Pelodiscus sinensis: one gene and its partners. The protein of the gene in region 3 binds, or shares a complex with, the protein of the main gene of each other region. Links are inferred from orthologs where the notes say so. Each region holds a gene or a part of one and is shown on either strand. Other genes may lie near its edges.

Region 1 (7,082 bases), on a different chromosome or scaffold from region 3:
TCTGGAGGTATAAGTTGTTCTCAAACTGGAAATAATTGTGGGTGAGAACAAAGTTACATAGGTCTGCTATCAGATTGGCAGTGGTGTCCTCTGGGATAGTGTTTCTAATTGCTTGTAATCCGTCTTCATGTGGGATGTTGGTGTATAGAGCTTTTACGTCCATGATGGCAAGGATGGTGTTATCGGGGAGGTTATCGATGTTTTGTAGTTTAGTAAGTCAGTAGTATCTCAGAGATAGCTGGGGGCGGTGGTTGCGTAGAGCTTGAGAAGAGAATGTCTAGCCAACTACAAAAGCAGTTTCTCCTCTCTTAGGGTATGTCTACACTACAAAGTTAGTTCGAACTAACGGACATTAGTTCGAACTAACATTCATAGGCGATACACTAGCGCTCCGCTAGTTCGAATTTAAATCGAACTAGCAGAGCGCTTAGTTCGAACTAGGAAAACCTCATTTTACGAGGATTAAGCCTAGTTCGAACTTACTAGTTCGAATTAAGGGGTGTGTAGCCCCTTAATTCGAACTAGTGGGAGGCTAGCCCTCCCCAGCTTTCCCTGGTGGCCACTCTGGCCAACACCAGGGAAACTCGTCTGCCCCCCTCCCGGCCCCGGACCCCTTAAAGGGCACGGGCTGGCTATGGTGCCCGTGCCAGGTGCAAGCCTGCCAGCACCCAGCCAGCAGACCCTGCACCTGACACGGCACAGAGCCACCCACCCGATGTCCCCCAGCCCACCCCCTCTTCCCGGGACCAGGCTGGTGGCTCCCGGGAGCTTGCCCATGACCGCAAGAGGCGGGCACCTTCCTGGGCTAGTGCAGACATCGTGGACCTCATCCACGATCTCCGCACTAGGCACAGGAAAGTGGCCGGCTAGGGCAGGAGAGCTGCCAGCCTGGCCACCCAGGAGCAGGTGTGCATGAAAATCAAGGTGGTCCACTGAGACCCCCGACCCTGAGCCCTGAGCTTACGATGGCCGTACTGGGTCAGACCAAAGGTCCATCTAGCCCAGTAGCCTGTCTGCCGACAGCGGCCAACACTAGGGACCCTGGAGGGGATGGACCGAAGACAGTGACCAAGCCATTTGTCTCGTGCCATCCCTCTCAAGCCTTCCACAAACTTTGGGAAGGGACACCACTCCTACCCCCTGGCTAAGACTACTCCATGGACCCAACCTCCATGACTTGATCTCACTTCCCTTTAAACTCTGTTCTAGTTGTAGCCTTCACAGCCTCCTGCAGCAAGGAGTTCCACAGGTTAACTATTTGCTTTGTCAAGAACAACAACTTTCTCATACTAGTTTGAAGCCTGCTACCCATTCCTTTCCTTTGATGTCCTCTAGTCCTTCTTTATGGGAACTCAGGAAGAACTTTTCTGAATGCACCCTCTCCACCCAACCCCTGCTTTTAGAGACCTCTATCCTGTCCCCCCTCCATCTCCTCTTTTCTAAGCTGAACAGTCCCAGTCTCTGTAGCCTCTCTTCATCTGGGACCTGTTCCCAACCCCTGATCATGTTAGTTGCCCTCCCCTCTCCCAGCCTTTCTCTTCCCCTCTCCCACCTCCTTTTCCCAGTCTCCCCCAGTTTTGTTCAATAAAGACAGAGTCAATGTTGGAAGAAACATTATCTTTATTTTGTACATCAGGAAGGGGGGCTAGGGAAGGGTAAGTGGAAGGAGGTGAGGGAGGAATGGGGTACGAGCCCCCGATGGGGAGGACTGGGCTGGCTCTGCGGGCTTCTGGGGGTGGAAGCTCTCCTGCAGCCCCCCAATTGCTCCCTCTCCCCAGATGGCAGCCTGCGGCAAGTGCAGCCGGTCTGATGGCCGAGTGCTGTGATGTGCCCAGTGTGGGCACTCCGGGCACTCCAAGCCAGGACTGGTTTTCAAGCGGGGATCTCCTGAGAACTGTCTGTCCGGTGTGGGGGTCGGGTCCTTTTAAGCGCAGCCCTCGGCTAGCCTGAGACAGCATCTCCACGCCTCTGATGCCCTGCTGGCACTGTTCAGGGTCCACTCAATGTGGACATGCTAGTTCGAATTAGCAAAACACTAATTCGAACTAGTTTTTAGTTCTAGACGCGTTAGTTCGAATTAGCTTAGTTCGAATTAACTAATTCGAATTAAGTTAGTTCGAACTAACTCTGTAGTGTAGACATACCCTTAGTGTTTACACCTCCAAATCAGCTGCCAGAAGTGGGTCTCATCCTGCCTGACTGAATTTACCTTGTTATCTCTAGCCTTACTCTTGATTGGTACTCTTTTCTTATGCTTGTATATTTATACCTGCCTCTGGAATTTCCACTACATGCATCTGATGATGTGGGTCTTTGCCCACGAAAGCTTATGCGCCGTCTCCAGCTTTCTCGCCCCGGAGCTCACAGGCAGCGATCAACCACCTCTACCTCCGGGGCGAGAAAAGCTGCTCCCGGTGCCCCTGGTCTGCTGGAGACCGTCTCCAGCAGACCAGGGGCACCGTGAGTGAAGCCGCAGCAGCGGCGGGTTCCCGCGCTTCTGAGGCTTTGCCAGCGCTGCCTGTGAGCTCTGGGGCGAGAAAGCCCCGTTCGTAAGTGCGGATCCGACGTAAGTTGGGGACTGCCTGTATTGCCACCCTAGCTTCTAGGCTGTTGCATGCAAAGCTTGGTCTCAGTCAACAGCTACCACTCTCTGCCCAGCTCTGAAGGCCACAGTGTGGAAGGGTGGCAAAACATACCATACCAAGCCACCCTTACTTATGGGCTGCTGCTGGTGAGCTGCTGCTTTCGGAGCTGGGTGCCCAGCCCATAACAGGCACTTTCCTGCCTCCCAGTTCTCATAGCAGTGCAGAAGTAATTGCAGCAATACTCCCCAACTCACCACCCCCCAAAAAACCCTTGTGATACCCTGCAGCTCCCTTTTGGGTCAGGACCCCCGATTTGAGATATGCTGGTCTCCCACCTCTGAAATCTGTATAGTAGAGGGTAAAAGCACAAAAAAAGAGACCAGTTTTCAGCAAGGGAGACCAGATTTCATGGTCCATGATATATTTTTTATGGCTGTGAAGTTATTAGGACCTTAAATATAAGTTGTGAAATATTATTTGTAATGGTGTTTTGGCCCTCCTGCCTACTGTTCTTGTGGGATGCCAAAGGGCGCCACCCTTCAGCTCAAGGGTGAACTAGGGTTGCCACGTGTCCGGTTTTGAACCAGTATTTGAGCTTTCTGTCCAGGAAATAAATTAGGAAAATACCGGACATATAAATGTCTGGTATTTTCTAATTAAGTAAGTTTTATTATTATCATGAGTATCAGTTCGTAGTTGCATACTGCATGAGTATCAGTACTGTGTGAGCGTGTCTACCAACCAGGCAGTACGCAACTACACAGTAGAGAGGAGGGGGACAGGGCTGGAGCAGGATGGAATCCCAGGGGCCGGACTCGCCCATGTGCCCCACTGGGACAGTGCGCAGGACGGGCAGGACCCTGGGATCTGCGTGTGCCTGGGCCAGCCCCACTCCCTGCTGGCCGGTTCCCCCCAGGCCAGCCCTGCTCCCTCCAGTGTGAACTCAAATGTAGGGTATAGCTACTGCTCTCACACACCAATTGAAGGCACTATGAAGGGTGTGGATGGTGCCCTATTGCCCTGCAGGACTGCCCCAAAAGGTGTGGGGGTGGTGTGCAGTGATGGGCCTGCTGAGCAATGAGGTTTTGCTCTGGCACCCCAGGGTGCGGTGGGCTACTGTTCTTTTACACTGCATGATCATTGGGGTGCTACGCCCGTAGGGTTCTGCCTCCCAGCGTGCTGAGGGGTGCCGTGAGGTCTTGGGTGGGGTGCTGCCCTTGCCCCCCAGGCTGCAAGTGGTCACGTGGGGGTGCTGTGGGGTCCTAGGTAGGTCACTCCGTGGGGTGCACACAGTGTGTGACTGAGGAGATTGGGTGACAGGCACGCGCTGCTCCCCGGGAGTGACTAGCGGGTAGCCCCCCCCCCCCATCCGCTGTCTCCCACTCCCCCCCCCCCATAGTCCCATCCCTTCTCAGAGCCTGTGTCTGCTGTTGGCCCTTTAAATGCCAGATGGCGGCCCGTGCCGCCGCTGGCTGGGAGACCCCGCGCCTCTAGTGAGAGGTGAAACCAAGATGGCGGTCGCGCAGTGACTGAGGCGGAGACGGAGCCAGTGGGACACAGTCGGGCCTCGCCGCGCCTCAGCCAGGCCGCCAGCCAGCCCGGCCGGGGAGGGACCGCGCGTGCCGGCGCCCGCAGCGGAGCGGGCCGGCCTAACCGAGCGGGCCGAGGAGCCGGGGCTGAGCCGCAGCAGTAGCGGGAGCAGAAGGAAGAAGAATATGGCGGCGGAGCCGGGCTGGGAGTGAAGCTGCCGCCTGCGAGGGGAGCCCATGGGGGAGACTGGACGCTGAGCCCGGCCGCCTTCGCATCGCTCCCGGGACAGGCAGCGCCCGCTGGCCGCCCACGAGCCGCTCCTGAGGAAGGAGGGGCCGCGCCGCCTCTGCCCCTCTATTGACAAACTGCGAGGGGGCGTCGGGCCTGGGCAGCGCCCGCACAATAGAGCCGAGCGCCGGGCAGGGGGCGAACTGACCTCGCTCCCTCCCTCTGCCGCCGATCTGCCACCACCCTAGTCACCTCTGTTGATCTCGCTTCTTCCTGCCCCCTTTCCGTCCAGCGCACTGCCCTCTCGAGTCACCCCTCTCCTGCTGCCCCATCCCCAGCCACCCCTTCCCTCTGCTTTCCCCCACCCGCTTCATCTCCCTAGCCATCTTTCTCTGCCATCCTCTTTTACCTCATTCACCAGCTCTCCTCTGATATTTCTGTTCCCTCCCCACACTTGCCCTGTGGCCCGTTGCTTTACACCTGGCAATCGCCAGGCTTCCCCTCCTGAATAGCACCTCCTGGTCCTCTGTAACTGCTTCCCACCTACCACCCCCTTCCCCAGCACTCTGCCCTGCCTCCAAATAGTGAGCATGAGGAGGAGACTGCCCCAGCAGTGAAGAATAAGGAGCGATCCCGGGGTGTCTTTTTGGGACTGCTACTCTCTTTTCTGCGCCTCTCCTTTGAGGGGGGCCTAGCCCCCCACCAACCTCCTGTTCCTTTAGGTGTCACAGGCCAGGGTGGTGGCTGTGGTGTGACAGGCGGCAGGATGACCGACACCCGGCGGAGAGTGAAAGTTTACACGCTGAATGAAGACCGCCAGTGGGATGATCGAGGCACTGGACATGTGTCCTCTGGCTACGTGGAAAGGCTGAAGGGCATGTCCCTGCTTGTCAGGGCAGAGAGCGATGGTAAGTGGTGTGAGAACATGGCAAGTATTGTAATCTTTTTCCAATCCACCTACAAAAAAAGATAATGGCTTTATATATCTGCTTTGTGATTTTATCTGCATAATTTGTATGTGATTCTGAAATCGGGCAGTCAGCAGCTATCGTTAACTCTTGTTAGGCTATATGACAAGGTTGGAAGATTAAGACAACACACTCCCACTCCTCAGGTACACACTTGATGCATATTGGACACACTGACATAAAGCTGTATACCACATACAGGTAGTACACATTTCACACACTATATTGCACACCACTATCCCATTTCTCCCCCTCCCCAAGATTTTTTTTCCCTAAACACTAATTGGGATCTCTTGTTGAAATAATTGATAATCCCAAGATTAAAGAAACTATTCACAGTTTGGATTAAATGTGTTGAACATAAAATATTAAAATTATTTCATTGTTGTTTCTTGTCTATTCAGCTTTCTGTAGGTGGGTTGCAAATATATTTTTCACTCTTTAGAAGTGTATTAAAGAGTATTTTATAATGTGTAGATAGATACTCGCAGTTTTGATTTCAAGACAATACAAAGAACAAAACAACATTTTGAGGATATTTTTAAGCAGCTACTGTATTCTGCGCTCATGCTAAAACTGCCCTTAGAATTACCCCTGAAATAATAAATTCACTTAAAATAAAGCATATCACCTGTTTTTCTCTCACTCCAAGCATGTTTTGCTACATTTTGATAGGTTTGTGTATGAACTATCCTTGATTACTTGATCAGTGAGTTAATGATTACTGTAGATTAAACTTTGAAGTATAGCTGGCTTCATTTAACTCTGGTACCATGAATGTAGTCTGTCCTATCTCATTTAACCATATAGTTATGTACTGGGTGATGTTTTTCTGCCATTAGCTACTTCCTGGCTTTCTATCTTACATCTGGGGAGGGTGGGTCATTCTTGTAGATTGCTGTTTATATTTGATTGCTATCTCCCCTATGTTTATTTGGTTTTCCTTGTGCTGAAACTGAAGGATAGAAAACTTCATTGAGGTCAGTTACTTAGTCCAGTCATTGTAGAAGAGGAAGTGCATGTTTTCAGGAGTTATCAGGAAATCCTAAATTGATACAGTAAGAATCAAATGTAGTAAGTTGATTATCCAAAGCATGTTTAAATGCTAATTATATTGACTTAAGTCTTTTAAATTGCTAAATTATTATTAATAAATTATGAAAACTAACTATATAATTGATTTTTTACAAAGAAGTTGGAGACCTGTTCTCCCCATTCTCTTCTGCATGTCTTATTTCTTAGGTTAGATAAACTCGAGATGGCAGTGGACCTTTATTATTAAATTTAAGGGTGGTGGGGAGCCCAGTGAGAAGGAGGAACATCACCATTATAAACAGGTTTATGTTACAGTGGTATAATTCTAGCACTCACCATCACCACTGTAGCTTTCAGGAGCTAAATAAATTAATAAACTTCAACTGAAACTTCAAATGAAAGAACGATGTTAAAACACCAAATGCAGTAGTAGTAGTGTTTTAAAAATACAATGATCTAGATAGAATTTTTGAGCATAAAATGCTGCAGGTTGTAATCTGACTGTGAAGAAGCAGTCTGTTCAAAGGACACAGTCTTCCACTGGTTTCAGTTACATTTGCATATACAGATTTATTTCAGTAGTTTCATTGCTGTAAATGAGCTTGTATAAATCTATTAAAGAAAATGGAAGTATGAAGTATTGTAAGTGTTACTTTAATGTGTATCTAGGAGTTACTGAATTTTAAAGATTAGTTATCCATAACTTTAAAAAGCAAACCAGCATTTTTAAAAATGA
Region 2 (7,159 bases), on a different chromosome or scaffold from region 3:
GGAGCTGCACAGAGCCAGGGCAGGCAGGGAACCTGTTTTCGCCCCTCAGCACCGGCGACCAAGAGCCAATTGAGATAGCACTGCCTGCCCAAATCCCACAACCCAGGCTCTTTTCCATATCCCAAGGTCCTGCTCCAGATCAGAACCCTGTCCTGCACCCAAACTTCCTTGCAGAGCCTGCACCCCAGCTTCCTGCCCCAGCCTTGAGCTCCCTCCTGCAGTGTGAGCCCCTTGGCCTTAGCCCAGAGCCCCCCCCCACCTTCTAAACCCCTTATCCCCGTCCCCACCCTAGAGCCTGTACCCCCATCAAGAGCCTGCACCCCCTCCCACACCCCTTCTGCCACAGCCCAGTGAGTGAAGATATGGGAGACCAAGTTATAGAAAGAGGGAGGATGGAGTGAATGGGGTGGGGCCTCAGGGAAGGGAGCATGGTAAGGGTGTTTGGATTTGTGGGGTTAGAAAGTTGGCAACCCTAATGGGACTAGTCATAAAATTGCATTAGTAACCATTGCAAAATCGGGCCTTTAATGATTAGACCATTAAACATTAAAAAAAATTAACGGTAGCCAAAATTTATTACCAAAAGTACAGCAGATGGACAAAAATGCTGGCCTATCAATACTGCCAAGCAGACCAAACCAAAACAATTAGGAAACTAAAAAACATACTGAAAACATGTAAGGCAAGCATGGATTCAGAGACCGCTAAAGATGGCAGAAAGACAATTTGGGAGGAAGCTTGCAGCTGGCTTGCTAATTACTGAGCATTACATAAAAATGTATATTCAAATCAAAATCCTTCAGAACACTTATCCCTTCAAAGATTACATCTGCAGTTGAGTCAAAAGAGCTCTGGGTTTGAAACAATTATAATTTAAAACAAGCAATAGTAACTAGATAGGTTAGGGAACTGGAAGAGGAGGATAAAATGAGGAACAAGAGCACGGTTAATATTAAAATAATATGTTACACATTATTTTCTTAGGATTTTAAGACCGATCTCTCAACATTCCCCTCTTTATACTGCCCAGAAGCATGCAACAAACTCAAACAACTCTGTTCCATATCAGCATAATCATTGCTCATATAGAGTGAATATGAAGTTAGTCACTGATTGCTCTCTTTAATACCAACATTCAGTCCAGTGAACCTTGGAAAACCAATTACAGGGCAAAAAAAAAAAAAAGAGAGAGAGAGAGAGAGAGAAATGAAGTACAAACAATTCATTAATGGCAAAGGCACATATCAGGAACTCACTGAGCAAAGAAACACTTGTAGATCTGTAGGAGTATCCTATCCAATGCCAACATGTGCAAGTTGATCAAATGACACCTATTTTATCTTGCCTCTATTTATAATCATCCATATAGTAAGAAGAATAAAACCAACAAATGTTATAGACAGAAAACATAAGGAAATAGAAATAGGGAACTAAAATAAAAACTAGATGTTGTACACATGCACAACAATATTTTAGGACATACCTGAGTAGATATACAGCCCTTTCAATATCATTGAGTTCTTCATCAACTGTCAATCTCTCTATTTCTTCTGGTGTCTGTCAAGTGTGAAATACAAAATATGATTTTAAAATACCTTACTATTTCCTTTTTTTCAATTGTCTTGTAACAATCCCTTTTTCCAACCTCCAGAAACAATTACATGGTTAATGGGAATTTAATTCTTAAAATTGCAAATGAGGTTTCTAATTCAATCAGGTAAATCTTTAGCCAGAAATATGTCAGTGGTTCTTATACAATACTGTTCTAACAGTTATTCTTACAATATATATTTCATTTACAGTTAATATAAAATATATGAAAGTTACTTTAAACATCAACTAAGTTTTCTTCATTTTTCCTACTTAAGACTTTGTATATACCGAGAAACATTAAGGCTCTACTAAACAGAATTCAAGGATGTTAATTTCACCACAAGTGAAAACAAATTTTAAAAATGAGTGCTGCAAGAACACGGTCAGTGCAGCAATCTATGCACAAATACAAGCCTGCAATAATTGCTGGATTTTAAAGCATCATTCAGGGTTTTAAGTATATACCTTTAAACTCCTGCGTACCGGCCTTTCTATAATAGTAAGTTCCTGAAGGTCTTCTATGTATCCAAATAAATTGTTCTGACTAAAATCCATTTTGGAGATGATTATCGGATGCACGTAACAACTAGAGCCCTTGGCAAACCATGATCCATCCAAGCGTCACATTGCATTTAGTAAGGGAGGAGTCCGTGAAACACCCCCTTCCACCGATGCACTTGAATGTAGAGCAGTACCAGTGACTGACTCTTCCTCATACGAAGCTGCTGAGCCCCCACCACCCAGGAGGGGCCTCAGTAAACACAATGCGGCACCAGCACAACCCACTTCTGCCTTTTTATGAGCATCACTCCATTCTCAGCACAACCTCCTGGAAGGAAACTTTCTTCAGCTGCTTCACTTCCCTCCGGCGTCTGCAGGGAGCGGCAGGCACCAGCCTTCTTACCCTTCGCTCCTCGTGCCCTGCTGGGGCGGGGGAGGAGGGGAGGGGTGGCTTCCACTTTCTCCTCCACGTACAAGCGATGCTCTTGTCCTCAGGGTTGTGGGGAGGAGGCACCAGCCCGCGGGTGCCGCCCCCAGAAGGGATCGGGCGCAGTTGTTTGTGCAGCCTCCACGTAAAGGGAGCCTATGGGGGCAAGTCCCCTAAGCGGGTAGGTGGGGGCAGTCCGCCCTTCTGCCGCAGGTCCCCCAAGAGCGGTGGATGGGGCGCAGTTGCGCGTGCGGTTGGGCCGCCTCCTCAGCGCACCCCGGGGGCGTGATCCGCCCGGATAGGTCACCAGTGAGGGGGGTACGGTGCCATCGCCCCAGGATGGGCCTCGGGAAGGACAGAGGTTTCCCAGGCGCCCGGCTACGCTCCCTTCTCCAGCGAGGCCCCAGCGAAGCGCAGAGCCGCCGTTCAACGACTGAGAGCAGGAGCCGCCCCCAGCACAGCGAAGCCGGTCGCCGGGGCAACGCGCCGCTACCGCGGCCTTCGCGGGGCAAAAGAGCTGCCGGAACGCGGCAATATCCGAACGCGCCGGGGGATGCGGGCCGGGGCGCCGATGCTACCTTGTCGCAGGTCAGCCCGGAATGGGAGGGATCAAGCTCCAGGACAGAGGTGACCCCCGCCGGCCACTAGCGGAGCTCCGCCTGCCTCACCTAGCGCTGTGTCAGGGCCCTCCTCCATCTCATTCACACCCACACCCGATGACTGGGTTCTCCTCGATCGTACACCCACACACGGCGGGGTCTGGGCTCTCCTCCCTTACACACCGCCGTGTCAGAGCTCTCCTCCATCTCACATTCTCACTCACACACTGTGCTATGGCTCTTTCCTCCTTCCCCCTACGCACCGTCACAGTTCTCGCCTCCCCTCTCCCCAATTTCAGGGCTCGTTCCTCCTCCGATCTCCCCTTCACACACATACACACACAGTGACAGGGCTCCCTCCTCCATCGCACACTTCACAACCACATACAGATAACGTCAGAGCACTCCACCATCACAAACCGGCCATGCCTCTCTTCTTGTCACACACCCTCATATGCTATGTCCAAGTTCTTTCCTCCACCTCTCTTTCACCCACACACAATGTGAGAGCTCTCTAGCTGTCTACACACACACGCATACACACACAGTGTGAGAGCTCTTTGGCTCTACACACACACACACACACACACACCCACAACGCAGGCACAACCAACCAACCATCAGAGTTGTCCCATACTGTAGATGTCCCATATTGTAGATTCCTCCACCACCAGCAATAGGATTCATGATCCCAATGGCAGAGCTCTGATCCATCATACCCCTCTTTCCCACAATGTCAGTACTCCTCCATCACACACCTATTATTCCATGCGCTGGGTATCCCTAAATCTTGGACTGCCTTGCTTTATAAATTGTGCTGTTCTGTTCATTCCCTCTGAAGCATCTGGTAGCACTAGCCACTGTTGGAAGACAGGACACTGAACTAACTGGACTATTGGTATGACATTCTCATAAACACTTTCTCTCCTACGTCAGAACTGTCCTTACACCCCACACCTACATTTTTCCTCCAAAATCCAATGTCTGGTCTATTTTAAAATAGACCTCAAAAAGTTTTTGAGTGAGATCAAATTTTCAGAAATGTTTGTGTAAGCATCTCATGAAATACACAGCAAACTCCTTTTATACTATAAGCTTTTAAAAGCTCAATTAAAATTAATCTCCAGCAAAGAATTTATCTTCAAATAAATGGACTTGGCACCAGGTCTATAATGGAGGATGGAAGACATCTCCAGTAATAATACCTTGTTAGTATTCACCTCCTGTTTTTTCATGGGCTCTGGTTAGATAATGTTCAGACTTACTCATACAATAAGACAAGGTTTATTATTGTATTTGATTTTTATAAGTATTCTCAACTTACAGTAAAATGTATCATTCTGCCTGGCAAATACATATTTGTGTAGAAGGAAAATATATTCAATATTATTTTGAAATAATAGTATCCTGTTTTTAGATATGGCTGATAGTCAATTTGCCAAACTGTCAGGGCTCTCTCCTCCATCATACTCACAAAAGATTGCAATCAAGAGAAGACAAGAAGACTTGCAGCAAGAAAAAAAATAAAAGCAGGAGAATCATAGCAACACCAAGAAGAGACAGAGTTGATTTATTTGGGAACTACCAAAAAAGCAGATAGACTTGTCTCCAGAGTTGAAATGAAGAGCAGATGGGTGGGTTGTCTGCTGGTAGCTAAGATACCGCATATGCACCTGCTGAAGACAGGATCCTAACAGAAGCAGAAAAAAACCACTGACTGTCCTCCACATGGGAATAATTTATACTGGCATACTCTCACTGGGATGCATCAAGGAAGACTACACTAGGCTGGAGAAGATGCTTAAAGTAACAGAGGCTCAGGTGAACTTAATTGGGATTCTACCTGTCACTAGAGACAAGCAAAGGTAAGACAAGATTATGATGATCAACAGATGACTCAGGTAATAGTGCTACAAGAAAGGCTTTGGGATGTTTGGTCATAGGGAGGCATTCATGATAGATGACTGTTCTTATGGGATAGACTCCACCTGAGTTGAGTAGGAAGGTCAAGATAATAGATTTTTTTAAATTCAGTTTGGCATAAATGATTAAAAAAAAGCTTTAAACTTGGGATTTGGGGGAGATGACTGGAAGATTCTTTTGTAATCCCCATGCCTGTCTTGTAATATCAAGCAAAAGGACAATCAAATAAAAAAGTATACAGAAGTGAGAAAGGAGCTACTGAAGGTAGAAAGAGGACCAATGACATTAATGGTCAGGTAAGCAATACTAGCAGTAAAATGACTGTCCTAATCAGGCCAGGAATCTGGGTAAGCCAAGGAGAACCAACAAAAACATTTGTATACCACTACAAACAGCCTGTGCCACAAAATGGAGAAACTACAACTTGTGGTGCAGGAAATGAAGCCAGATAATACAGGAATACTGGAAATATAGTACAATAGTAATCATGACCAGAATACAGATATTCCAAGGCAGTCTGCAAAATATCTTTGATGCCTGTACACAAATGCAAGGAGTAAATGCTAGGAATGGATAACGGGGGATGGATCTGATGCTGAAGACAGGATCCTAACAGAAGCGGAAAAGAACCACTGACTGTCCTTCAGATGGGAATGATTGATACTTTTAGGTTCTCAGATGATTATCTGTTTTGTTCATTCCCTCTGTAGTATCTGGCATTAACCACTATTGGAAAACAGGATACTGGGCTAGAATGACCAATGGTCTGACTCAGAATAGCCAGTCTTACATTCATATGAATATGGGGAGCAAGCAGGATGAACTGAAAGTCATAATATATGAAGAAAATTATGACTTAATTGGTATCATAGAGACCCGGTAGGACAACCAGAGGTGAAATTAAGGGGGTGTGACCCAGTGCACTGCTCCATCAAGAGCTCTTTAAAGAGCTGGCTGGGGTGCAGCTTGCACGTGGTCTCCTAGCTCAACTCCTGCAGCTGCAGGTGAGGCAGCACTGCAGGAAGTGTAAAGGGACTAGATGGAGGTGTGCTGTAGGGTAGACGTGTGCTGGGCAGCCTACATGCTATCCCTGACTTGCACTGTTGCCATCAGTCCCTGGGGGAAAAGCCAGTTTCCCAGCAGCAGCACCCCCAAACAGACTGCCCACAGCTCCCTTGTGGCCAGGTAAGGTTACCTAGTCACAGGCCACACCCCCACCCCAACTCCTGCACTTCACACATGCAATCCTACCCCTGTCCTGAGCCCCCTCGCATCCACCGCTCTGCTTTGAACCCCCTCCCCATGCTCTGAGCTTCCTGCACTCCCACTCCCTTCCCTGACTCTGGCAACTCCTGCCCCCACAGCCTCATCCCTGGCTCTGGTGCCCCACACACATCCTCAGCTCCCCCCCCCCCCCCCCCACGCCAATGGGAATGAAACTGCATTAATAACAGAAAAGTAGAGTTATTGCTTTAATTACATATTTTACATTACAAATCCCCTTCCATTTTCAATTTTTACTTCTTGCCAGGTGGAATACATTCATGTTTGGTCTGATGTGATGTGTACCTGTAAGAAATTTAAGTTTCTTTCATTCCTGAGGACGACTATCATAACTGGAGTATCAGCACTGAGGAACCTTGCTTGTTCTGAAATCATAGGTATGGGGGGGGGAAAGAAGAAGTGCTTGTGACATTGCATCCCATATTATTTATGGAAATACATGAAATATTTTACAGTAAGCATATTCAAGTTATATTTATGAATATAATGTAACATAAAATTTAAAAATGTATAACCTGCTGGATGTGTATAGTTTATTTGAGTTTAGAAATATGAAGTATAAACCTGTTTTACTAATCTAGACAGGCTAAGTAAGAGCCATTAGTAGTACTCAAGGAACTTAATGGCCTGTACTTGGGACAATGATCTGTGAAAAGTCTTGTTTTTCCTCTAAGCCTGGACTGTGACTGGTCCTGCCATGACATGGGACCAAATCACCTGATTCTAGAACCCATTTTGAATGCTGTACTTTTCCACTGGAAGTATGAAAAATTGAAACTGAATACAAAGGATTCCTGCCTTTGGAAAAAGAGTTATAAAGGTGAGAAATCAA
Region 3 (7,394 bases):
TCACTTAAGTTAGTATTTGTATGATTAACACCTACAATGCTAGATGTGCAATTTATAGCATGTCCATGAGAGCCTCAAAGACCTTTTTTTAAACATTTTATCTTATTTTTCAATACCACATTAATTACATTTAATAACTTAATCTACCAGAAAGTACAAATGCCACAGAAGTTATCTTTTTTTTTTTTTTAAATCAAGGATACACAGAGTTTGGAAAAAACATTATGAAAGCCACAATACCTTTACTTGAAAACCAGAGAAATAACATTAACTGAAATGAAACACAGCAAAATAGCCTGTTATATTATATCATTTGTTTCCTTCCCTAACACAAAATCCTTTTTTGTTCGTTATGTTACATGTCAGCAGAAATATGTACAACTCTACACAGTACTTGTAAAAGAGAAACATTGCCAACACGCAGAATCACTAACATGGTGGACTCTCCCTAAATAGAGGGTCCTAATTATTTGAATATTTCAAAATGAATTTGGTAAATAAATTTTGCAAAATATCAGATGAAGAAATAATGTAGACCTTGCGGTCTAATGGGAGCAAAATTAAATGTAATGGCAAAGTCACTCCATATATTGCCTTGTTTGTGTACAAAAGAGAACACTAGAGACTTGTTGAACTATTACTAACAAATGAGAAACTAGTAAGCAGCTACAGCAACTACAATACCAAGTAATTAAAAAATTAAGAGAAATATTGAGAATGTACAGGTCCATGATTTGTATCTCAAACAGAGCTCATTGCAGGATCAAGGCCTTTGTATAAATGAATACAAAATTAATCCACATATTTCCTAAAAAGAAAGCAAGCAAAAGCACCTGGGTCTAAATTCCCTATCATATATGTTTTCTTACATATTTCCTGTGAGGTGACTTTTACAAATATCTTATAGCTTCCAAAATACCATATACACAGACTAGTCAACAAAAGCCTGACAAAATTTCAGACAAAATATAAGCTATCATATTTAAAGAGTAATTTTACACTTTACAAAAATAGCATTTTTTTCAAGTCAGACCATCTAACAATCCATTAAGCAAAAATATCTGTATTACAGCTGTGCCTTTTTCTGCTGAGCTGAAACCTTTGATTCAAAGAGCAAAGTGCATTTCGGGACTTGAGTTTTCCCTTTAAAGGCCACAAATTCAACGAGTAATAGCACAGTATATTAAAAATCAGATCTCTTGCAAGTTAGACACACTATAAGCTAGAACAAAGCCTCTGTGAATCAGTAGTTCCTAATAAAACACTGGTATAGACACACATTCCTTTCTGAAGCCTGTACTAGGCCTCAAAAAACAAGGAGGCAGCCTGGGAGCCAGAAAGTGAGCAATTCACCAGCAAGGCACCCAGGGAAGCCTTTCTCCTTCCTGCCAAATGGTGAGGCACCGAGGAAGTAACACAATGCAGCACCAGAGATTATCTCTGACAAGGAGAGATATTCCAGCTCTTTGATAAATACAATGTCCCTTCCAAAAAAAAAAGCGGCCCTAACCCCAGTTAATGCTGATCTATGAAAGAAAAGCCTAGGGAGAGTGAAGTGGGAACAGTTGTGTAGACTAAGAAAGGAGGACCTAATGAAATGCAAGGTAACAAGTTAGTTCCCATACCCTTTTGGGCAGACAGTTTCTAAATTATGTTTTTCACCTTTGACTTAAAAAACAGAAACTGAATGCAAGGCAGCCTGTGAGTATAGTACACAAAGCCTGCAAACATTCATCTAAATCACCAAGTCACTTGCTTTTGTGAATCATGCTATGGGATATCACGTTTGAAAGACTTCACAATACACACTAAAAAAAACTTCTCCTCTTTCAGGCTATGCAACCAGATATGAGTATTATATAAAATGCGGCGAAAGCAACAGGCATTCACAGGATCCACAAAACCCGACAGATGACCCTGAACCAAGTCTATACAACACACAAGGAGAAACTTCTCAATCATATCAGACTCATGTGGGTCAACTACAAGCATGAAAGGAAAGAAACCAACAAAACTGGAGAGGTCTTCAATCACTAAGAACTGCCACTAGAATGAAGGGCAAAATATTTAGGTCACAAAATCAAGCTGCATGTCAACCAAACTCGGGCATTAAATCTAAAGCTCTGGGCCTAAAATTGGTAAAAGCTCTTATGAGCCTCAACTGATAAGAGTGGGGAAGGAATCAGACTTACATTGTCTCCCCAGTCTTGGCAACATGACCAAGAAACTGATCCAGCACTGGACACGATTCCTTCTTCCCTCGCTTCTCAAAATCTGCAGGTAAGGGAAGCGGGGGAGGGGGATGAGAAAATCCCAGTTACCATCAGTGGCCTTGGTCCCACAAGACGCTTTGCCAAGTCCCAGTGTGCGGGAAAGCGAGACCCCCCCCCCCGGTACCCCACTCCCGCCGCTGTCTGAGGAGGGAACCGCCTGCACCTGAACGGCGGAAAGTCACTCGAAGTTGACTCGCAACTTCCCAGGAGCGGCTGGAGCCACGAGAGAGCCGGCTGCGCCCAGGGAGGCAGGCGGGGGATAAGGGGAGGGGGGACAACGGGGGCGCTGGGCTCCGCGGGGCAAGGGGGGGTCAAGGGCAGAGAAGAGACACTGCCCCCCCCAGCCGCCCACCTACACCGCCCCCCCCCCCGCGCGCTCTCCCTCGTGTCCCAGGGAGCGCTGCCGCCTCAGCGACGGGGGGGAGGGGACTTTGCTCCTCACCGCCTCCTCCGCCCGGCCTGGGGCGCCGCCTCCTCGCCTGCCCCAGGGGCCGTGGCCTCCCTCAGCGCCAGGACCCACCCGCGGCGGCGCGAGCGCCCCCCGCGCGGCCCGGCCCCCACCTTTCAGCGCCTCCTGCAGCCTCTCGACATCCATGGTCCGCCGCGGCGCCGCTCCCGCCTCCTGCCCCCCCGCCCCGCACAGGAAACAGGCACCGGCAGCGGCACGAACACACACCGCGGGCTTAGCAAGCCTCCAACATGGCGCCGGGCCGCCACCGTGCGCGCCCCCGACGGCCCGCCCCCTCCCGGGGGGAGCGGTGGCGCGCCGGGGGGCGGGGCTGGGTGAGGCGGCAGCGCGAGGGGATGGGCTCGGCGCGGGCGGGCGGCCGGTACGCGCACCGCTTGCGCACGTACCGCGGGGAGGGGGCCCCGCCCTCGCCTTCTGCGTTCTGAGTGGGGGCCACCTCGCCCCCCCCACACTGACTGGGGGGGTCACCCCTCCCTCTGCCCCAGGGGCCACCTCGCCCCCCCCACACTGACTGGGGGGGTCACTCCTCCCTCTGCCCCAGGGGCCACCTCGCTCCCCCCACACTGACTGGGGGGGTCACCCCTCCCTCTGCCCCAGGGGCCACCTCGCCCCCCCCACACTGACTGGGGGGGGTCACCCCTCCCTCTGCCCCAGGGGCCACCTCGCCCCCCCACACTGACTGGGGGGTCACCCCTCCCTCTGCCCCAGGGGCCACCTCGCCCCCCCACACTGACTGGGGGGGTCACCCCTCCCTCTGCCCCAGGGGCCACCTCGCCCCCCCACACTGACTGGGGGGGTCACCCCTCCCTCTGCCCCAGGGGCCACCTCGCCCCCCCCACACTGACTGGGGGGGGTCACCCCTCCCTCTGCCCCAGGGGCCACCTCGCCCCCCCACACTGACTGGGGGGTCACCCCTCCCTCTGCCCCAGGGGCCACCTCGCTCCCCCCACACTGACTGGGGGGTCACCCCTCCCTCTGCCCCAGGGGCCACCTCGCCCCCCCACACTGACTGGGGGGTCACCCCTCCCTCTGCCCCAGGGGCCACCTCGCCCCCCCCACACTGACTGGGGGGTCACCCCTCCCTCTGCCCCCCAGGGGCCACCTCGCCCCCCCCACACTGACTGGGGGGGGTCACCCCTCCCTCTGCCCCAGGGGCCACCTCGCCCCCCCACACTGACTGGGGGGGTCACCCCTCCCTCTGCCCCAGGGGCCACCTCGCCCCCCCACACTGACTGGGGGGGTCACCCCTCCCTCTGCCCCAGGGGCCACCTCGCCCCCCCCACACTGACTGGGGGGTCACCCCTCCCTCTGCCCCAGGGGCCACCTCGCCCCCCCCACACTGACTGGGGGGGTCACCCCTCCCTCTGCCCCAGGGGCCACCTCGCCCCCCCCACACTGACTGGGGGGGGCTACCCCACCCCCCTGCCTCTGCCCCAGGGGCCACCTCACCCCCTCTCCACACTGACTGGGGTGCCTATCCGATCCCCCTGCATCTGCCCCAGGGGCCTCCTAACCCCCCCACACACTGACTGGGGGGCTACCCCCTCCCCCTGCATCTGCCCCAGGGGCCACCTCACCCCCATTCCACACTGACTCGGGGGGGGGCTACCCCATCCCCCTGCATCTGTCCCAGGAGCCTCCTAACCCCCCCCAAACACACTCTGTGGGGGGCTACCCCCTCCCTCTGCATCTGCCCCAGGGGCCACCTAACCCCCCCCCACACACGGACTGGGGGGGCTACCCCATCCCCCCTGCATCTGCTCCAGGGGCTTCCTAACCCCCCCCCCACACACACTGACTGGGGGGGCTACCCCATCCCCCTGCATCTGGCCCAGGGGCCTCCTAACCCCCCCACACACACTGACTGGGGAGGGCTACCCCATCCCCCTGCATCTGCCCATGGGGCCTCCTCACCCCCCTTTCCACACTGACTGGGGGGGCTTCCCCATCCTCTCACCCCTGTCATATGGGTTTCCCAATCCCTCCTGCCCCTTCCACAGGGGTCTCCCCTAGCTCCCCCCATCTTCCATACTGACTGGGGGGCTACCCAACCCCTCTCCTACACCCACGTTTCCAATAGGGGCTTCCCCACCCCTTCTGGCCCTTCCACAGAGGCTTCCCAATCTCCCACATTCCACACTCTGACTGAGGGGATACTTAGCCCCCCACACAACATCCGTACTCTGGGGAGGGGTTTCTCGTCTCCCATCACCTTCCACACACACACTTCTGCCACACTCAGATTTGAGGAGACTCCATACTCCCTTACGCACTACCTACACACCAGCTGCACTGTCTCTGCTATTTGACTATTATATTATTTACCTTAAGTATTTTTGCAGTAATTTTTATATGAAAGATGCCATCTAAAATAAGCATGCTTTGTACTATAATACCATTGTACACCATGGTATGAATTACTGTTTTCTATTGCTTTCAGGTATAGGTGCAACTGACCAGCTGCATTAAAAGTCAGTAATCATTTCTTATGTATACATCTAATAGAATTGACTAGGATGATCATCCAGCCAAACTTGGAGGGATATTCCTTATTTGAGATATAATATCTTTGAGTCCCATATCCATTAATTAAGGGGTACACTTTGAGCAGTAATCACGAAAAGGAACATACACAATTATACAAATGCATGATTTTCCACAAATGAAATGAATTATGCTATATATAAGCACACACACATTGACTCACATATTTAGGTGGTCACTCATATTTGATCTGACAATTTTAGAAAAATCATGTTTGGGAATTGATAAATAGGAAATGATAGTTAAACCGCTTTTGCACAACAAAACTATGCAAATATATTTCTAAAAATTACAGAACCTTGATTTTCAATGCTTTCTATTATTTGTAATGGAAAAGCTGATCCTTTCAGTCTGAGACCCTAATTTGGCAAACAGTGGTGTGCTTAATTTTGAGCATGAGTGGTTCCCATTGATGTTGTATTGAAGGCAATGGGACCACTCACATGCTTAAAATTAAGCACATATGTAGTAATTTACAGTGCCATGGCATTAGTTTGAAAATCATCAAAAGGGACTTCTATTGAGAAGTTTAATTAAAATGACAGCCTCTGGCGAGGGAGAAAACAGATCTATGCACTAAACAGAAATACTGAAAAAGTGTGAAGGACTTCTAAAAGCACTTTTAGAAATGTCTTTTCGATATATATTCTTGTAATGGTCCATCAATTTCCCTACACAAAAGCCCACAAAGGACAAACACCCAGAGCAGTGGTAAAATCTGTACAATCTTCCCCATACTTCCCTGGACTGGGTCCCAGAATCAACAGGGATGTTAACTGAAACAGAGAGACGTGGGATTCATGGGAATCTGAGCGCCCAGCTCTGCAGATTTTAACCAGCCAGCCAGCTGCACACACACAAACGTATCTACTGTGGACACTTTGAGGCACTCGGGATCATGATTCCTAGAAGGAAATGGAAATGCCCATAAAAATGAAGTCATAAATAAAGTAGCCAAATATTGCAGCTAACTGTTATTTTAGGCATATGTGAGCTGGCACATCTGCTGTCATTTACTATTAGGTAAAATCCTGAATAGGCCTGGATCATCTCCCACACTCTACCCCGGATCTGAATATGCAGGGACGTGTGCCCATAGATTTCCCTCTTCTCATACAAAAAAAGGAGGAAGGGGGAATCAGTAATCTCTGTGAACCATTCTTCGTCCTCCTCTACCAACTTTTCCTGAGAATACAGAGTATGCATAGCATGAGTTAGAGATTTGACAGACCGCAAGGAACAGTAGGAGGGCCAGAGCATGGCTGATAATGATGTACATTGTCCACCCTCCAATCCCAGTGAGCTTTCCTGAATATTCCAGTTCAGGGTCCTTGGCAGAACAATTCCAATAAAGTTGCATTGCAAGAATGCTGATGTGCTCTAAGAGATTAACCTGGTTGGGGTACAGTCTATTTTCTGGATGAGGACAAAACCAGTAATTTTGACCAAACAATATGGCGTGCTCTGCCTGGGGACCACTTCCCCAGGAGCTCTCTGTGTGAGTTTTGGCATGCATCAGGGATAATCCAGTTCCTAGAGTCTAACCATGTCCACACACATGTTTTTTTTTTCTATAAAGTGGAGAACCACAACCCGTATTTAGAACTCCATGGGCTTTAGAACTGAGATCCTTGTAAACCTTTTGGAGCTTGGAGTACCATTTAATGTTAGTAAGATTAATGCTACTTACCACTTCATATTTATAACATGCTATATAAATCAACTGTTTTGTGATGCAATATAAAAATACACTTTGTTAAAACACACTGTATAAAATGTATTCTAAATGTTTTGTAAACTTTCTAAAATATTTTTAATCCTGTAGAAATATCTCAGATTTAACACTTTGAGGTCCTCCCTGGCTGAAGCTGGATATCTGCTAATAACCCAAAGGAAGTAGAGACAGTGGAATTATAAATATTTTACAAAAGAATGTTATTTTTTGTGCCATAGGTCAACCCTCAAATTTAAAAAAGAAAAATAGCATTGCTCCCTGAACTCAATTTCTAGGGGAAAACAGCAATAGTATTGAGACTAGTAGTACTTAAGATTTACAAAATTTTTCATTTTCAATGTATTTTCCACACACTAAGTATTATAGCATCCTT
Region 4 (7,497 bases), on a different chromosome or scaffold from region 3:
AAAGTCATCTACAGTAATATTCTCTCTTGGTGTATGTCTTCTATCACCAAGTAATGTACATTTTGGGTGTGGCCTGATATCCATTCATTTGTGCTGCCTGCAAATTAGAAATACTGCTGGGCCTGAGGCTTTACCTACCACTATGAATTAGGTGGTTCTTTGTTGTACATTTCTAAATAGGGCTGGGTGCTTTCCTGATTGTTCTGAATTCTGTGGTGCTTCATGTGCATTTATAAATACTGTTTGATTTCTTTGCTTGCACATTGTGTTCCATAACATTTGTTGTGAACTAATAAAGGTACTTTGATTATCCAAAAATACAACTTTGAGTACAAAAATTCAGTGCTCGAAATCAAAGTGCAAATAAACGCAAGCATACAATATTATACAAACTTAACATAATAGGATGAAATGTTTTAAATTTTATTGAAAAATAAGTACACATTAATGTCCATTTGTTTCAACAAAAAGGTAGTTCAGTTATGGTTACAGACACTAAACTGTGATTTGTAGCTGTAGCTTTGCTTGATGAGGAGATGAGTGGTAGGAATAAGGATGTGGTTTGGGTTGGGTGGAGCAGCAACTGTGGAATTCTCCAGGGAGTGTATAGGCTGATTCCAGGATTTTTTGACCAGTGGGTTTACCAGGATCTGTACCATTTAGATTTGCTGCCTGAGAAGACCCTTTAGATCCTGATGCAGTTCACATTCCTTGTCCTACTGAGACCCCCCCAAGCCTGTTGCTGGCCCTCTTTGTTTTTTGGCATGTTTTGATAATGGTGGCCCTTCAAACAATCTATTCATTGTCCAAAGCAGGCTTATAAGATCTCACCAAATATGTCCTCTGTAGTTGTCATCTTTCTCCTCATCGTGATCAGGTGCCCTTTAACAATGGAGGAGGCACCTAAGACCTGACTCCAGAAGCTACTGATAAAAACAGTTCCCTCCTACCATGCTGGCACTGTCCATGATCTTGGTGGTATTAACATTTGGTACCAACAGTGACCTCGACACCGGCACCTTCAGCACTTTCCACAGGATCAGCAGCACCAACAATAGCACAGGTGTCAGCTTTGCCTCCACCACTTCAGGCAGTGAGTTGATACCAGTCCTTCCCACAGTACTGAAAGGATAGCTGATGCCTATGCTGGCACTGATCTCTACATCTACACCCCTAGCACTGACTAGTGTGTCACTGGTGCCAGGGCTAGTCTGAGACCTCAGAGTCATGAGACTCATCAGGAGCTGCCAGCAGAGAACAAGCTCTGTTTTTAGTAGCTTACTCCTTCCCCATGAGGCATTGGCTGGCATAGCCATAAACCTGCACTTGAGGACAAATGGGCATTGCAGCAATTGCTGTGGGGAAGCAGCTCAGAGTCTGGGCATCAAGGCTGAAGAGATGAGTGAGGAGGTTGATCCCACGGTGAATGTTCTTGCCCTCTCAGGTCCTTCTCATTTCACACTTCCTATCACCCGAGACAAATGCCAGCTTCCCTGCCATCCAGTGCCCAGAATAATGAGTGGTATTATATTATGTTCTCCGAGGGGTGTGAACATTTATACTTTTACATGCTTCCTCATTCCCTTATTGTGGACCCAGGTAATCAGCATGAATGACAAGGTTTTCAGGGGAGCTCCCTAAAAAATGGGGGACTGTTTGGAGGACTATTTTATTTCACATGCCTGCTGCTACATATGTCCAACCAACAGGTTGTTGTACAACTCCTCTGTGGCAATGACCAAGTTTACAGAGCTGCTCCCGTCAGACTGACTAGTTGAATTTTTTGCTTAGGTTGAGAAAGGGAAGCTAATCTGCACTTCCCTACAGACCACTCTGGGTGGTGCTGATGCCACTAGAGTCATGGCTACAAGTAGAGCCATGAGGGGGGCTCCTGGCTCCATGTCTCTGCTCTTCCCCATGAAGTCCAGCAGACCAAATAGCACCTTCTCTTTGAGGGTGTAACTCTGTTTTCAGGGGAAAAAAACAGATAAGAGGCTATGTAGTCCTGCACACGCAACGGAGGCAATTCAGACCTCAACCTCTACCATGGTGTTACCAACAGCGCTGACAGGACAGCTCCCCAGAGAAGGAACAGGAGTGGCAGAAAGAGGCCACACCCATCCTCTGGCCATTCTAAACCACCTGGCCCTAAATAGACCTTTTGAAGGTACGGTCAAGGATGGCATACAAGCTCACCAACTGGATCCGCCTTGCCTTACCTTCTCCTCCAAACTATCCTCTTTCTATGAGGTATGGTCCCATATCACCTTGGATTGCAAGGTGCTCCACATAGTAGAGAGGGGAATACACTATCCAATTATTTTCCCTCCCACCCTCCTTCCCTGGCCCTATCCAGGGACCTTTTTCACAAAGAACTCCTTACCCAGGTGGTGCAGTTGCTCTTAGCAATATGGTCTGTGGAGGCAGTTCCACTGGAACATGGGGGCAGGGTTTTTTATTCCCAGTACTTTCTAATACCGAAGACCTGTGAGAAGAACTCAACAAGTTTGTAAGTAAACTCAAATTCTGCATGGTCTCTTTGGCCTCCAATGTCCTCTCTCTGGATATAGCAGACTGATAAGCCACCCTGAACTTGATGGATACATATCTCCATATTGCAATCATTCAGCCCCCCAGAACTACCTCAGGTTTGTGGTAAATGGTATCCATTACCAGTTTTCAGTCCTCCTGACTGGCCTGTTAGCTGCACCTCACAGCTTCACCGAGTGCATGCTTGTGGTCCCTGCATTTCTACACAGGCATCAGCTACAGGTGTTTCTGTACCTCAACAACTGGCTGATTAGGAGTTGCTCCAAGTCTCAGGTAGAGGCCCAACTCAAATTAATCACAGAGACGTTTGACAGCCTGTGTCAGGATTTCCTTCTTGTTTTCATCAAACCAGTCTTAGTGCTGATGCGTGGATTATCCTGTAGTTTCAGCATATGCACTGTGAATTATACTGGTGATGTTATAAGGTAAATAGGAGTTTCTCAGGCAGGTGTTGCTGGAACATCTCACATCTGGGTTGGTCTTGAAGTGGTTTGACTTACCAGTTTTGTTTAGCTTTTGGGTGTTTGCAGTGTGGTGGAGTGAGCTACAGATACATGGTTGAGTTTACTAATCAATGGTCTGCCCCAACAGTGTGATCTGTACCTCTTATGGCTCTTGTTATATAGACACTAGCATGGTTTTGAGCTCTGACTATAACACAGTCGAGAAGGTGCCAATGCTTGGACCAAAGAGATTTCCAGGTGTTCTTAAATAGGATATTCTGCCTAAAGATGGTATTTGTGATGAGCAGGTTGTACTCCACACATTTCCTGAGGAGGGGAATATCATTGGGATTTATATTTCCCACCTCCTCTTTGCCTATTATGTGCTTCAGAGTTGGGAGTCCTGGCAGACTTATCCCAGGAGGATGAGCTTGTCTGCTTTAGGTGTGGTTGTGAGGACTTCATCAAGAGTTCATTAAAACTGCTCCTTCTTTTCTTCCTCATTGAGTCTATGCATTGATGACTGTGGCATATTGCTTGTTGCTGAGCTTGAGCCAGAGTCAGGAAGCATTCATTGATCCCTATATGAAGTTCCAAAAGCTGACTGGCAATCTTGCTTTTGATTACAAAGACAATTCCATGAATGTCTCTCTCCTTGGCTGACTTTTCTTTCTAAAAGAAAGTGTAGCCATTACCATCCTTTTAATTGGCCTTCAGTGGCCTGACAGGTCTAACTAAGAGCTGCAATGTCAGTGTTGAATCTTGCCAGTTGTCTGGCAGTTAAGGAAGTAGTTTCTAGGCATTTGCTGGGATAAGCGTCGGTAAGGGTGCAGACATTCCAGGTGGTGAAATTTATTGCCTTTATATATATCCTATTTTGGCCATGGAGTTGTGATCCCACCGGATGTGTCAATCCAGTCAGAAGAGTGCAAGAGAGCCTAAGTTTGGGGCTTTTTCTTTTTGTAGCCCTCTCATTTGGAGTGATTGGAGGGAATAAAAAACAAGTCTGATCAGTCACAGTTGCTGCTGGCAAAATGCACTTCTGTCTCATTCAAGCACAAAGTGCCTGCCACCTGTGTGTGGATTTATGACTAAAGACTCCCAGAGATCATGCCTCCTGTCTTTGTTGTCACTTACAGTTGGGGTGTTTCAGGGGCTGTTGTTAGGTTCTAGCGGGGTCCATGCTTATGGGGTGTCCCGTGGGCCCTGGAGTGGATAATGGTGGGCTCAGTGGCTGCTGGGCAGTAGCAGGATTGTGATTGCAGCGTGCTCATGGGTGCTGAGAGCCACTGAACCAGACTGCAAACCCCATGTGTTGGAAACCACTTCCAGCCAGAGCGTGCTCCGCTTCTAAGGACCCTGGGCAGGAGGTGGGAGAGGGGCGCTGAGGTCACAGGGGGAGGGTGCCATAGTGTGTAAGCCGGCGGGAGGCGGCCTCAGGGCGGGGACACACAAGCCCGCCCCCTCCGTCCTTGCAGCAGCGCGCGTGGGCTCTCGGCCGCCGTAGCCCCTGCTAGTGGAGCCCGTGGCACGCGCTGCTGAAAGGAAGAGAAAGGCAGGAGAGTCGGGTTACAAGATGGCGGCCGCGCTGTGGTAGCTGCTGAGGCGGCGGCGCGGAGTGAGAGGGACCGAGCTGGGGGCTCAACTTTCCCCTCTCGCTTGCAGGGAGCCATGAAAAGCGGCGTGTTAAAAACCCCGCGCTGCGCGTGAGCGACTGCCCGAGCCCGTGGAGGCGGTGAGCCAGCGCGGAGGCCCCCGGCGGGCTGCACCATGTCGGACACCCGGCGGCGGGTGAAGGTCTATACCCTCAATGAGGACCGGCAATGGGACGACAGGGGCACCGGACACGTCTCCTCCACCTACGTGGAGCGACTCAAGGGGATGTCGCTTCTAGTGCGGGCCGAGTCGGACGGTGAGAGCGGAGCCAGGAGCTGCGGGGAGGCCTAGGCCCTGCCGGGAAGGGGGCCCGCGGCTTGGCCCCCGTGGTGCTCTTCCAGCCTGGCCGGTCACTGCCTTGGGCCGGGTGCTGGGACAAGGGGACTGGGGGAGGGGAGAGAATGTGACATCTCCCCGCGCGCAGCGCCCTGCAAACACGGACCCCACCAGTCTGCTGGTCTGGCCTTGCCTGGCCCGGCCAAAGCCCCAGACACTGATACGCTCTGGGCTTGTGTGAGGGAGTCTGCCCCGTTCCCTGAGAGGCAGCGTCTCTAGGGGGCTTTTTCCTCCTGCCTCCAAACTTTCCTCCTTCACTCGGTGAAGCCGAGTGTGGTCTGCACTGAAGTGACTCCAAATGCTTCCTTAACGTTATCACCCGTGACTGAGTCTGCCAGCCCTCACTTAGCCTTCCCCGAAAGTGGTTTTCTGGTCGTGCCGGGAATTTGTTTTTGTAAATTCTCTGTTTTGGAAAAGTGAAAGTCTTGCTGGTGGGTTTTTTAAATTGCGTGTTTAAGTTTCCATTGGGGGGAAAAAATAAGGAAAAAAAGTGGCAACTTTGTCAGCCGACAGGTGCTAATGTGCTAAATAAACCTTATGACTCTGAGGCCTGGTATAGATTACTCCAGAACTGTTGCCAGGATACATATGTTACTTACACAAAATAAAGTCTTTGGGTTTATAGGGTCTAGATCATTCACTTCTGAAGGGCATCTCAAGGAGATATGAGCAAAAAATGCAAAAAAAATGCAAGTAAATTTTTTTCTTAAACTGCTAGTTATAATTTATTGTTAGTATTGATTTATAAAACGTTCCTCATAATTGTATAATATAGCAGAAAAATAGCAATACCCAGACCATTGAGTTTAAATGAAATTTTGTTTTAAATTTGTCTGTGGTGGACTTCTTCAGAAGGTGTAGGGATTTCCATTAAAATGCAAATATTTTTCTTAGACTTGCTAGATGATGTGGATTAATTAGAATTTAATGTGTTTATGGGCACATGGCCAGTTATAACAGCCATGGAGATGTCTGTTTAATTAAACTTCCTAAAAGTAACTCCTTATCACCTTTTCAGGTTCTCTATTGTTGGAATCAAAGATAAATCCAAACACTGCATATCAAAAACAGCAGGTAAGTATCAGCTTCTTTTGTCATATTATTTGACACTGAATTTGGCACAAAATTAGTGCCAATTTACAGAAAAAGGTGATGGTACAGATTTGCTCATGTTTCTTTTTTGTGCATACTGAAAAATTGTACTTATCTTAAATTATAGCAATAATATGTTTGATGAAAGGTGCCATGAATGGAAGTATACTTAAATATGGAGTATACATATAATTCCGTATTATTTTCACAACCCAATATTGACTTATGCAACTATTTTAAACAAGAAAATAAAACCTTCACCAGTAGTGTTTCTGCATGCTGATTATTTCTTTAGTTCTTTTTCTGAAAATGACATCAAGGAATCCATCTCTAAAGTGTGGCTTTTTTATTATTATTCAAGCCCACCTGCTAGCCTAAACCAACTGAGCTGACTAACCAGCATTAAATGCAATTGAAACCACCACATCTTTAGGACATGACTTCTGTAAATCAAAAGAATAAAACAGTTTGGCACTGTGTTTACCATTTTGTTGACCTTCTAGTAATCCATTAAAAATAGTGATGTACTGTGTCTCTTTTGCTTTTATTACCTATCCTTTTCCTTCTATTACTGTCCTTTTTTTTTCCTGTAACATTCTTTTCTTATGTTGTCCTCATTGGTTTTCTGCAACATTTCTTTTTCCATCCACTCCCTTTTTCCTCTGCACTAGATACTCTACATTTTTTATCCAAGTTATCATATTAGTACGTATTACCATATTTTTTTAGTAATTCTCATCAGTAATACTTCCTACCCTTGGCACAAAAGACAGCCTGAGGTTTTCTAATTAATATAAAAATATGTGATTATGGAGTACTATTGCAAGAGAACTTGAATAAACAGGTTTTCAGTTAGTTCTGAATTCCGTAAGAGTATTGATCAACATTATTTGATCTGGCAGTGAGTTCTATAGTCTTGGCTCCAGGTCTCATGAAGATTCTACATCTCCCGTGGTCACAAGTTTCTACCTACTTGGTATTGGTTTAGTTGCTCCAATGGAGTAGAGAGAGAGTTTTGAAAATCAAGGTAGGATTGGGCAGGATTTTGTTCAGTAGAGAGCATGCACAGAGAATTCCTTCTAAATGCAATATTGAATGCAGATTGTTTCTGAACAGGTGCGTTGACTTGTTTTGAATTCTCTTTAAGATTTCATATTGCTGTCTCTTATTATTCCATATACAATCAATAGGAAAGTTCCTAGTGGACTTCATGGACTCTGGTTCTGTTCATTCTTTCGTGAATAATTTTTTTCTTAAGATGAGGTGAGGGTTTGTCTGTTTTGCTTGGTTTTTTGTTTTGTTTTTAGGAGCAGGACTTTTTGGATTGCTGAGAGGAGTTCATGATGATTATTCTTGCTATGATGGATGGAGGCTTGCACGGATACAAACTTAATATCCACATCTGCAAAAATGATCTGCG

The links.
Region 1: PPP4R2 (region 3) and PPP4R3A share a complex: the UniProt entries of both Homo sapiens proteins name them as parts of the PP4 complex. The link is inferred for Pelodiscus sinensis from reciprocal best matches to the Homo sapiens genes PPP4R2 and PPP4R3A.
Region 2: PPP4R2 (region 3) and PPP4R4 share a complex: the UniProt entries of both Homo sapiens proteins name them as parts of the PP4 complex. The link is inferred for Pelodiscus sinensis from reciprocal best matches to the Homo sapiens genes PPP4R2 and PPP4R4.
Region 4: PPP4R2 (region 3) and PPP4R3B share a complex: the UniProt entries of both Homo sapiens proteins name them as parts of the PP4 complex. The link is inferred for Pelodiscus sinensis from reciprocal best matches to the Homo sapiens genes PPP4R2 and PPP4R3B.

What each region holds. Positions count from the first base shown.
Region 1 is NC_134714.1:31,305,965-31,313,046, forward strand, and holds the start of PPP4R3A (serine/threonine-protein phosphatase 4 regulatory subunit 3A), read left to right. Parts: upstream 1-4,063; 5' UTR 4,064-5,109; coding exon 5,110-5,251; intron 5,252-7,082. UniProt on the Homo sapiens protein: Regulatory subunit of serine/threonine-protein phosphatase 4. May regulate the activity of PPP4C at centrosomal microtubule organizing centers.
Region 2 is NC_134714.1:29,145,351-29,152,509, forward strand, and holds the start of PPP4R4 (serine/threonine-protein phosphatase 4 regulatory subunit 4), read right to left. Parts: upstream 3,005-7,159; 5' UTR 2,149-3,004; coding exon 2,059-2,148; intron 1,558-2,058; coding exon 1,484-1,557; intron 1-1,483. UniProt on the Homo sapiens protein: Putative regulatory subunit of serine/threonine-protein phosphatase 4.
Region 3 is NC_134721.1:11,130,720-11,138,113, reverse strand, and holds the start of PPP4R2 (serine/threonine-protein phosphatase 4 regulatory subunit 2), read right to left. Parts: upstream 3,010-7,394; 5' UTR 2,869-3,009; coding exon 2,835-2,868; intron 2,509-2,834; exon of another isoform or gene 2,437-2,508; intron 2,275-2,436; coding exon 2,193-2,274; intron 1-2,192. UniProt on the Homo sapiens protein: Regulatory subunit of serine/threonine-protein phosphatase 4 (PP4). May regulate the activity of PPP4C at centrosomal microtubule organizing centers.
Region 4 is NC_134713.1:176,541,833-176,549,329, reverse strand, and holds the start of PPP4R3B (serine/threonine-protein phosphatase 4 regulatory subunit 3B), read left to right. Parts: upstream 1-4,489; 5' UTR 4,490-4,763; coding exon 4,764-4,905; intron 4,906-6,003; coding exon 6,004-6,059; intron 6,060-7,497. UniProt on the Homo sapiens protein: Regulatory subunit of serine/threonine-protein phosphatase 4 (PP4). May regulate the activity of PPP4C at centrosomal microtubule organizing centers.